Cricetulus griseus: one gene and its partner. The protein of the gene in region 1 purifies or fractionates together with the protein of each later gene. This does not show direct contact. Links are inferred from orthologs where the notes say so. Each region holds a gene or a part of one and is shown on either strand. Other genes may lie near its edges.

What was found.
Region 2: the proteins of Os9 (region 1) and Serpina1 purify together in Homo sapiens (affinity purification with western blotting; 4 studies listed by BioGRID). This does not show direct contact. The link is inferred for Cricetulus griseus from reciprocal best matches to the Homo sapiens genes OS9 and SERPINA1.

Annotation. Positions count from the first base shown.
Region 1 is NW_023276806.1:130,592,555-130,597,106, forward strand, and holds the start of Os9 (protein OS-9), read left to right. Parts: upstream 1-1,610; 5' UTR 1,611-1,643; coding exon 1,644-1,875; intron 1,876-2,206; coding exon 2,207-2,424; intron 2,425-3,159; coding exon 3,160-3,223; intron 3,224-3,362; coding exon 3,363-3,439; intron 3,440-3,678; coding exon 3,679-3,777; intron 3,778-4,552. UniProt on the Homo sapiens protein: Lectin component of the HRD1 complex, which functions in endoplasmic reticulum (ER) quality control and ER-associated degradation (ERAD).
Region 2 is NC_048598.1:190,875,383-190,879,809, reverse strand, and holds the start of Serpina1 (alpha-1-antitrypsin), read right to left. Parts: upstream 3,084-4,427; coding exon 2,453-3,083; intron 1,127-2,452; coding exon 856-1,126; intron 1-855.

The DNA of each region.
Region 1 (4,552 bases):
TTCCTTTCTTGCTTGTCTTGGTTTCTTTCTTATATATTAAAAAGTTTTTCCTTAAAAAGATAACGATGCTTGGCTTTCTGTGTAGCTGGGCAGTCGATGGTAGCACACACCTTTAGCCCCAGCACTCGGGAGGTAGAGACAGGTGGATCTCTGTGAGTTCAAGGCCAGCCTGGTCTACAGAGCGAGTCCCAGAACAGCCAGGGACTGTGATTATAATAGGATTCATGTCTATTTCATTACGATAAGACTGATAAGAATATTCTTGGGATCTCCTTCTCTACGGGGGTAGTAAGCTTCCCCATAGTAGGTTTCCCAAAGGAATGTTATTACTCTCACTTGCTGTTGTTTAGGAATTAATATTCTCAGGGTTGCTAAGCAAGCTATCATTCTATTTGATTTCCAACTTCCAAAATGTTCCTACCACTGCCTCGTTTCCCTTTTGCTTTGTTCTCACAGGTTTTTTCTCTTACAGTCTGAACAAAAGAAATGCTCTCCCCAAGCTCCTCAGTCCTACCCCAACTTTGACAAGAAGCCCCCTTTATTTTATTTTTCTCCTTTCTTTTCTCCCCTGCTTTCCTTCCTCTCCCATGCCTGTTTTGGGAGGGGGATTTGTTTTTGTTTGTTTTTTGCTGTTGTTGGTTTGTTTCTTCAAGATTTTGCATGTAGAAGCTGGGCTGACCTCCAACTCTCCGTCTTTTTGTGTCAGCTTGTAATTATGGGCATCTGCCTCCACTCTTGGCTCCGTTATTGCTTCTTTTGAGACGAGGGTCTCTTGCATTCCAGGCTTGGGCGGAACTCTATGTAGCCAAGGATGACTGCTTGGATACCAGGTGTATACCAGCATGATTGGTTTATACTGTGTGAGGGTATTGAACGCAAGGCGTCACACATGCTAAACAAGTCATCTGCCATGTGTCTGTGTGTTTGAGATTAGGGTCTCATGTATCCCAGGCTGGCCTCGAACTCACCATATGTATGAGGTTGATCCTGATTACTGATCCTCCTGTCTCCGCTTGACAAGCGCTGAGATTACAGGCATGCACTACCCCACTCAGCCCCTTAAGATAATTTCACTGAAGGACAAATTCCGGTTTTGACACAGATTATTTGATTGCCCTAAAGTAGTATGTGTGTATATATACTTGCATGCTTCTGTACGGCATGCTTCTGTATAGTAATTGTTTTTGCAAAAGGCATTACGTTACTTCCAAAGGTACCCCCCACCCCACCATCCGCCTCAATATTCTGCCCGATGGGGGCGCCATACATAGCAAAAAATCCATGACAAAGTGATCAGAAGCGCTATGCTGGGCAAGGGCAGAGACGCTCAAAAAGAACACAGCCATAGACCACTCCTCTCAGGAATAAAGAGCGAGGGGGCGGGGTTCAATCTCGTTGATGATTGGTTGTTACTCCTGGCCAATCATGATCAGAGATTGATTTCTCTCCCCCCCCACACACACCCACCCTAACAGCGATGATCCGCCTCCCTGGAGATTTTGACGCCACGTTTACAAATGAGGACAGGTTACGTAAGAGAGATGGACGGAGCAGCCAATGAGAGCTCCGGGCGCTAATGGGAGGGTGAAGCCGCTGCCAGGTTCGGGGCGGAAGGAGCGTCCCTAGCTAAGACGGAGCGGAAGATGGCGGCGGAAACGCTGCTGTCCAGTGTGTTGGGGTTGCTATCGCTCGGGCTCCTGCTACCCGCGCGGCTGACGGGGGCCGTCGGGAGCCTGAATCTGGAGGAGCTGAGCGAGATGCGTTATGGCATCCAGATCCTGCCGTTGCCTGTCATGGGAGGGCAGGTGAGGGCTGTGGGGGCGAGGGTCCTATGCAAGAAGAAGGGGCTCGCACACGGTGAAGGAGGAAGGGCAGGTGCGAGCCGGGCTCCGGAGACTAAGGGGGTGGAGAAGGGCAGCTGGTGCGCACACGGCACAGCTGGCAATCGCAGGCGGACCCATTCCCGGGGGACCTGGCACCGGCAGGGGTGGGGCTTCCCGCTGTGCACCTCGGGTCCCCGGGTCACGGTGAAAGCACCCAGACTCCGCCGGGTGGGGAAGTGAGAGCGCCCTTTTCCTCGGCTCGTCCGCCCGCCCGCCCTCCCGCCGCCCGGACAATGCAAGCTGGAGGACCTGTGGCTTCTGTCTTCGACTGGGCACTTACTTCCCCAGGGTCTGAAGAGGGATCTCGCTGTTCTTGATCCCAGCCTCTACCTCCCTGCCCCCCTTCCCGACCCTTCTTTCCCAGAGCCAAGCTTCAGACGTGGTGGTTGTGTCTTCGAAGTATAAACAGCGCTATGAGTGCCGCCTGCCAGCTGGAGCCATTCACTTCCAGCGGGAAAGGGAGGAAGAGGCACCCGCTTACCAAGGGCCTGGGATTCCTGAATTGTTGAGCCCAATGAGAGATGCTCCCTGTCTGTTGAAGGTGAAAGGACTGGGCGGTGGGTGGGATGTAGTCATGACAACTGAAGTGCTAGGGAAGGAGTGGGTCCTCGGGCGCGGGGTGTGTGTGTGAGTTCAGGGACCACTGGTGTACTAGATATATTTACAGACGATGTGTGGAGGTCAAAGACTCTTGCATCCACAGATCACCTTTGCTGAATGTGGGGAAGGGTTACTGATAGACGGAGGAGCAGGCGCTTACCCAGAAAGTCGCCAGCTGCCCCTGTTTGGTCTTAACTCAGGATTCCATTGTATTCGGGGGGAGTTCATTTAATGCTTGAACCTCTGGGAGTCTTCGTCTGAGAGCTTCAAGGATAGCACGATGTCTTATCTTTACGGTGGGCAGGGAGTCTATGATCCCAAGCTGGAGCACATGGCATGGCCCTGTCTCACCTGTCCCCCGACAAAAAAAAAAGAAAAAGAAAGAAAGAAAGAGGAAGGAAAGAAAGAAAGAAAGAGGAAAGAAAGAAAGAAAGAAAGAAAGAAAGAAAGAAAGAAAGAAAGAAAAAGGGACACATATGGAAAGTAGGCATATTTTAGATGTGTGTTTCCAACCATGAAAGAGACAGCTGTCCCTTCTCGCAGAGTCTGGACAACGAACGAGAAAACAGAGAGAGAGATGAGAACTAAATGGGAGTTTATATGTTTTGGAACCAGGAGACTGTTTTCAAAAAGAGGGATTTTCATTCCCCCTGATGGTTCGTTTTTTAATTGTCAGACCAAGGACTGGTGGACTTATGAATTCTGTTATGGACGCCATATCCAGCAGTACCATATGGAAGGTGATTCGTTCTTAGATTTTTTTTTCCCCAAGCTTTCACTGTCATGTGTGGAAGGGGACCGCCCTTCCCTTCCAGTCCCCTCCCTTCTAGATATCATAACGAGCGAGAATAATGTGCTTTCCTGTTGCTTCTCTTACAGACTCAGAGATCAAAGGTGACGTCCTCTACCTCGGCTACTATCAGTCAGCCTTCAACTGGGATGATGAAACAGCCAAGGTAACAGGAGTGTGGGGTCAGAATGGGTACAGGCCTAGCTGCGGACTGAGAGCTCAGGCAACAGGGGAGAGTCAAGAGTTAGCTGGTGTGAATCTCGGGGTTCGGTGCCTATCAAGACAAAGTCCCCTGGGATCGGGACTCCTGTGATGTCGGGGTCCCTGCCAGAGGCTGGGGTCATTCTTCTACCTTGCTTCTTTTTGTCACACCCTCTCTGTCCCTCCTGATGTTTTTTTCTCCAGGCCTCCAAGCAGCATCGGCTGAAACGCTACCATAGCCAGACTTACGGCAATGGGTCCAAGTGTGATCTCAACGGGAGGCCCCGAGAAGCGGAAGTCCGGGTAAGGAGAGCGGTCCCGAGTAACAGTCTACTTTCTCTGGGTGGAGGGCAGATCTAGTTCGCCACTAAATGCCATTGTCTGGATTTAATTCTGTGTTTCCCATGTGCTTCCCGGAGCGCTTCCAGCTATGTCTAATCTTTCCAGCATTACTTCTCACACTCACCTGAGCTATTATTAATGTTAGTGTCTCTGACTCCCCCATGCTCTGGATGGAGCACTGAGGCATTGGTCTTAACTTGTCTGGTGAAGCAGCAGCAAATAGGAAGCTCCTGCATGGGTAGAAGGCCTTGTATGGAGGAAAACAGATGTTAACACAAGAAATGAGTCTGAAGGAAGCCAGTAAGGCTGGGTTCTCAACCTGTGGGTCCCGAGACCCCTTTGTGGGACAAACAGCCCTTCTAGAGGGGTTGCATATCAGATACTTACATTACATAACAGTGGCACAATCATAGTTATGAAGTAGCAACGAAAAAATTTTATGGTTGGGGATCACCACAACAGGAGGCATTGAGTTAAACTGTAGCAGCGTTAGGGCGGTTATGAACTGTTGCTAACGAGGGAGTGTGAGAAGGAAAGAGGGCCGGTTCTCCCAAAGCCCAGTCATCCTAAGGATCTATTAAAACTCTTCAGGGCTGGGCATGGTGGTTCATGCAAGCCTGTAATCCCAGAACAAAAAACAAAAACCTCTCTTTGGTTGGAAGTTGGAGGCTGAGGTAGGAGCATTGTGATCTCAAGACTATCATGAAATTCATGGAGAATACTGTACTAAAAAACT
Region 2 (4,427 bases), on another chromosome or scaffold:
CTATGCCCTCCTCTCAAGCCACGGATACCCCTTGGATCTGATTCTCAGGGGAGCTAGGGCCAGTGCAGCAGAGTGACATTTCCCCCACACTCCCAGGGCTGATGGCTCAGCTCTAGGTTTTCACAGGGCCAGAGGAGGTCCCAACAGGATCTTAGTGGCCCTTGGGATCTGTCACCTATTCTGGTCCCAGCCTTGTATGGCTCTCTGCATTTTTATGGCCAAAGCAGAGGCCAGGCTGGGCAGCAGGGAAGCCACCTCTAGCCACACCTAACCTCGTGCCTGCCAGAAGCTCACAGGGTTCCTTATCCTACAGGCAGCAGAGCCTGGGCTCAGAGCAGGTCCTCTGACCTGGGGAGAAGACCCTAGGACTGCTGGGACCTGGAGCCCCACTGAGGAGTGACAGACGAACAGAGCCTTCTGCAAACCTGCCCAGGGTTCTCTATTGCTGGCCCCTTGCTGTTTAGGGCTGTCCATGCAGACTATCCTGGGCTCTCCTATAAACTTCTCACCTCAATCTCTACCATCAGCTGTGGCCAGGGTTTGAGACCAGTCTTGGTTCTTAGTTCAGTCATGATGTATGCTAGCGCTGCTGACATTGCAGCCCTGGGCTGTGGGTTAGAAAATACTATGTCCTCTGGGGATGGGAGTCCCTCCAAAGCAGGGCCTGGGCTCTCTCACCAGGAGCTCTGTCCCTCCCCAGACTCTACCTGGCACTGTCTGAGATGAAGGTTTATTTTAGCTCAAGGTTATGCACTTAAACTGTGGCCCTGGGATAGAGTCCACCCTCTGGCAGCACTTTGTGACTTTTGGGTCAGGATTGGACACTCAGGGAAAGGTCTCTGTCTGGGGAGTCACCTTGTGTGTCTGTTCTCCAGGAACTTGGAAATGATTTCCTTGTTGAGAGTTTGCTCCAGATGCTGCATCTTGCCTTCATCAGGCAGGATGAAGATGGCAGTGGCGTTGCCCAAGTAATCCATCAGCAGCACCCAGCTGGACAGAGTGCTGCAATGGTGCACATCAAACATGCCCAGGCGCTTCATCATGGGCACCTTCACCGTGGTGCTCTGGTCCACGTGGAAGTCAGCTTCCTCAGTGTTCTCTGCCCTGAAGGGCTTCTTCCACTTGCCTGCAGTGTATGGGAAGTAGGAAGTAGGAAGAGGGCTCAGCCAGGGAAGTGGTGACCCAGGGCCTTGACTTTTCACAGGGGACCACTACTAGACTTCAAAATGCCCAGGGACTTTGATGAGGGTAACTTGGGACTAAAGGACTCACACTTTACAGATCACAGAAGCTCACAGCTACCATCCCCATTGTCTAGAAAGCATTTCACCTGTTAGATGTGTTACATGCTTACTGAAAGGTGACCTGGGGTTATAAGTGGAAATCTTGACAGCAATTCTATTTGCTAGCTTCTTATCAGGGTGGCATGCTCATTGGTAAGTGTGAGTTCAGTTGTCACTCAGGACACCTCAAGTCCCTTTCTACATCTATGGGTTCAGTGTAGATGGCCATTTCAAGTGTAAGAACACCATCAAGGTCATTGGAGTGGGTAGGGGTCTCGGGGACCCATCACCAATGCTGGCAGAGTAGGCAAGGCCCTCAGGGATCCACCATAATGGCCCTCAGAAGGAGCATGGAATCAGGAGCCCTAACCCTGCCTTATTATTGGATAGGAAGAGGTTGGGGAGGAGTTAACATCTGCCCTTGTCACAGAAGAGCCAGGACTTGAGCTATGCTGACCATGGCCTGATATTCTGCTCCATAAGACTCTGCTTAGAGGCAAAGGAGCCACGAAGGGCAGAGAAGCTCCTGACTTTGACTCCCAGACCCTCCTCAGATGTTTTCTCTGGGGTACAGGTGCTTAGCATAGAATCCTGACCTAACCACTTCCAGGCAGGAGGCTGTGGCTAGGGTCAAGGAGAGTTGATCAAGTGCTTACATCCAAACCGTCCCTGTGTATACTGTATTTACTAATTCTTTCATCACCTCACAGCAGTTGGCTAGCTTTGTCCCTGGCCATATGGACAGCCGTACCCCAAACATGTAAAATGGCTTGTCCAACATCAAGACAGCAGTAGCAAAATTTAAGCCCATGTTTCCAGAGTTCATACTGGTGTGCAGCAAAAGAGCTGCTCAAAATACGTTTCATGGAGCAGGGCTCTCTTCATACCACCAGATACACTTGGTTCTGAGGTTGGGGAAGAATCTCGTGTTCTGAGACTCCTTCGTCGGGGTCTTCAGTGAGCACGAGGACAGTCAGTCCTTCAAAGAGGTCAGTGGATTTGATGGTTGACAATTCCCAAACTTACTGATGATTTAAAATATGACAGAGTGTACCCACTGGAGAGTCAGGGATGTGATGGGACAGAGTGACACAGCCCAGAGTGAGAGCTCAGAAACCATGGATGAGTGTCTCCATGAGAATCAGCTGGAGCTGGTTATGTCATCTTACCTTTAAAGAAAATGTAATTCACCATGGCAAGAACTGTGTCTTTGTCAAGGTCCTTCACTAAGTCAACTATCTTTCCCTGGGTTCCCTTCTCCACAAAAGCATTGATCACTTTCTTGGCCTCTTCCGAGTCTGTGAAATTGAGGGAGAAGGCTTCTGAGTGGTAATTGTTCTTGGCCTCTTCCAGGAACGTCGCCACCAGCTTCAGATTGTCGTGGATGAACAGGCCATTGCCTGTGGTCAGCTGAAGCTCATTGTCTGGCTTGTTGAGGGTCTGGAGGACGTGATGGAAGCCCTTGTGGATCTCACCCTCTGCTATTTGTGTGAGGTTGAACTCCAGGCCTTCTAGAATCTGGGTGTGAGTGGCACCCTTGGTGCCCAGAGAAAGCATAGCGAAGGCTGTAGCAATGCTCACGGGGGAGAAGAAGATGTTGGTCGTATTGGACTCATGGACCAGCTCCCGGTACAGGCTTAAGGCGAAGTCTGCCAGATTTGAAGCGATCTTACAGCAGGCTTGGTGCTCCTGATCCTGCTGGGAGGCATCTGTCTCCTGGGCATCCTCAGCCAGGAAGCTGGGGACCAGGCAGCACAGGCCTACCAGCAGCAAGATCCCCCTTGAGATGGAGGACATCATTCTTCTGCAAGACACAGAAATGCATGTTGCAAGGAATCGAGGCTGTGGTGACTCCCATCAGCTAACATTTGGCACAATACAAAAGCAACCACAGCCTATTAACGGCTGCTGCATGCCCAGCCTATATCAAGCACTATTTCAAATTGCTATAATTGACAAGAGACTGTTAAAAAGAAAACTAGAGGCATTTCTGTAGATAAAGCACTTGTTATGTAAGGGTGAGAATAGGAGTTTGGAAAATGTGGGCAGAGTAGCCATCTGTAATCCAAGCATGGGGGTGGGGGACAGGGCTGGGCAGAGATGGGATCCTTGAGGCTAGCTGGCCGGCTTGTTAACCAGAAGCTCTGAGCTCTTGGATCACTGAGAGCTCAATAAAGTGGAGAGTGGTTGAGGAAACCACCCAACATCAATGTGAGCCCCCCGTATGCACATGCGCACAGCACACTTCCGCACACAGGCTCACACCTCACAGGCATGTGTGAAAACCAAGTGAGGGAGCGAGAGCAGAGGATCAGACTTTTTTCCATCTGCCAGTGCTGTCCTGAGTCCTCCCATGTGTGAACTCCCAGGGTCCTGTAGGGAGATGATCACTCCCCTGGTAAGGGACATGTTGACACACATTCAAAGTCAACAAACAGCAAATAACACAGCAGGTCTAAGTCACACACAAGGAGTGGTCTGGTGCCTGACCAGTACTCTCATCAGTTCAAGTTCCACCAGCAATGACCTCGAACCACAAGCCCCAGCCCCATTTTACAAAGAGGAAACCAAGGCCTGGGGTGAGAAATGGACTTGTCAGTAATGACAAGGGGAGCAGGGGGTGATCTGGACTAACAGTCGCTTGAAGGTGGGGAAATCATGAGCTCCAGAATCCGGGTGCAGCTGTCACCTCTGTTCCCCAGAGAGACCATGTTGAAGGTGTGGTGATTGTCACAGGAGAAGAGATGAATGGGCACACGGGGAAGTCTAAGGCTGTGAAGAAACCCAAGCGGGCTGGAGAGATGGCTCAGCAGGAAAGAGCCCTTGGTGCTCTAGCAGAGGACCTGGGTTCGAGTCCTAGGACCTATATGGCAGATTACAACGTCCCTGTAGCCAGTTTCAGGGTGTCTGGTGCCTTCTTCCGGCCTCCTCAGTCACTGGACACGCATACAGTGTACTTACATACATGCAGGCAGAACACTTCTACATGTAAGATAAAAATCAGTCTATAGAGGAGAAGGAACACACAGACTGTCCCTACTCAGTGCCCACAAGGAACCTCAGTCCCTGGTGGCTTTCCCTGAAAGAGGGACTGTCACCATTCTACCCTGTGATTCCAGCCCCAGGCTGTGTTGGCTCCCCCTC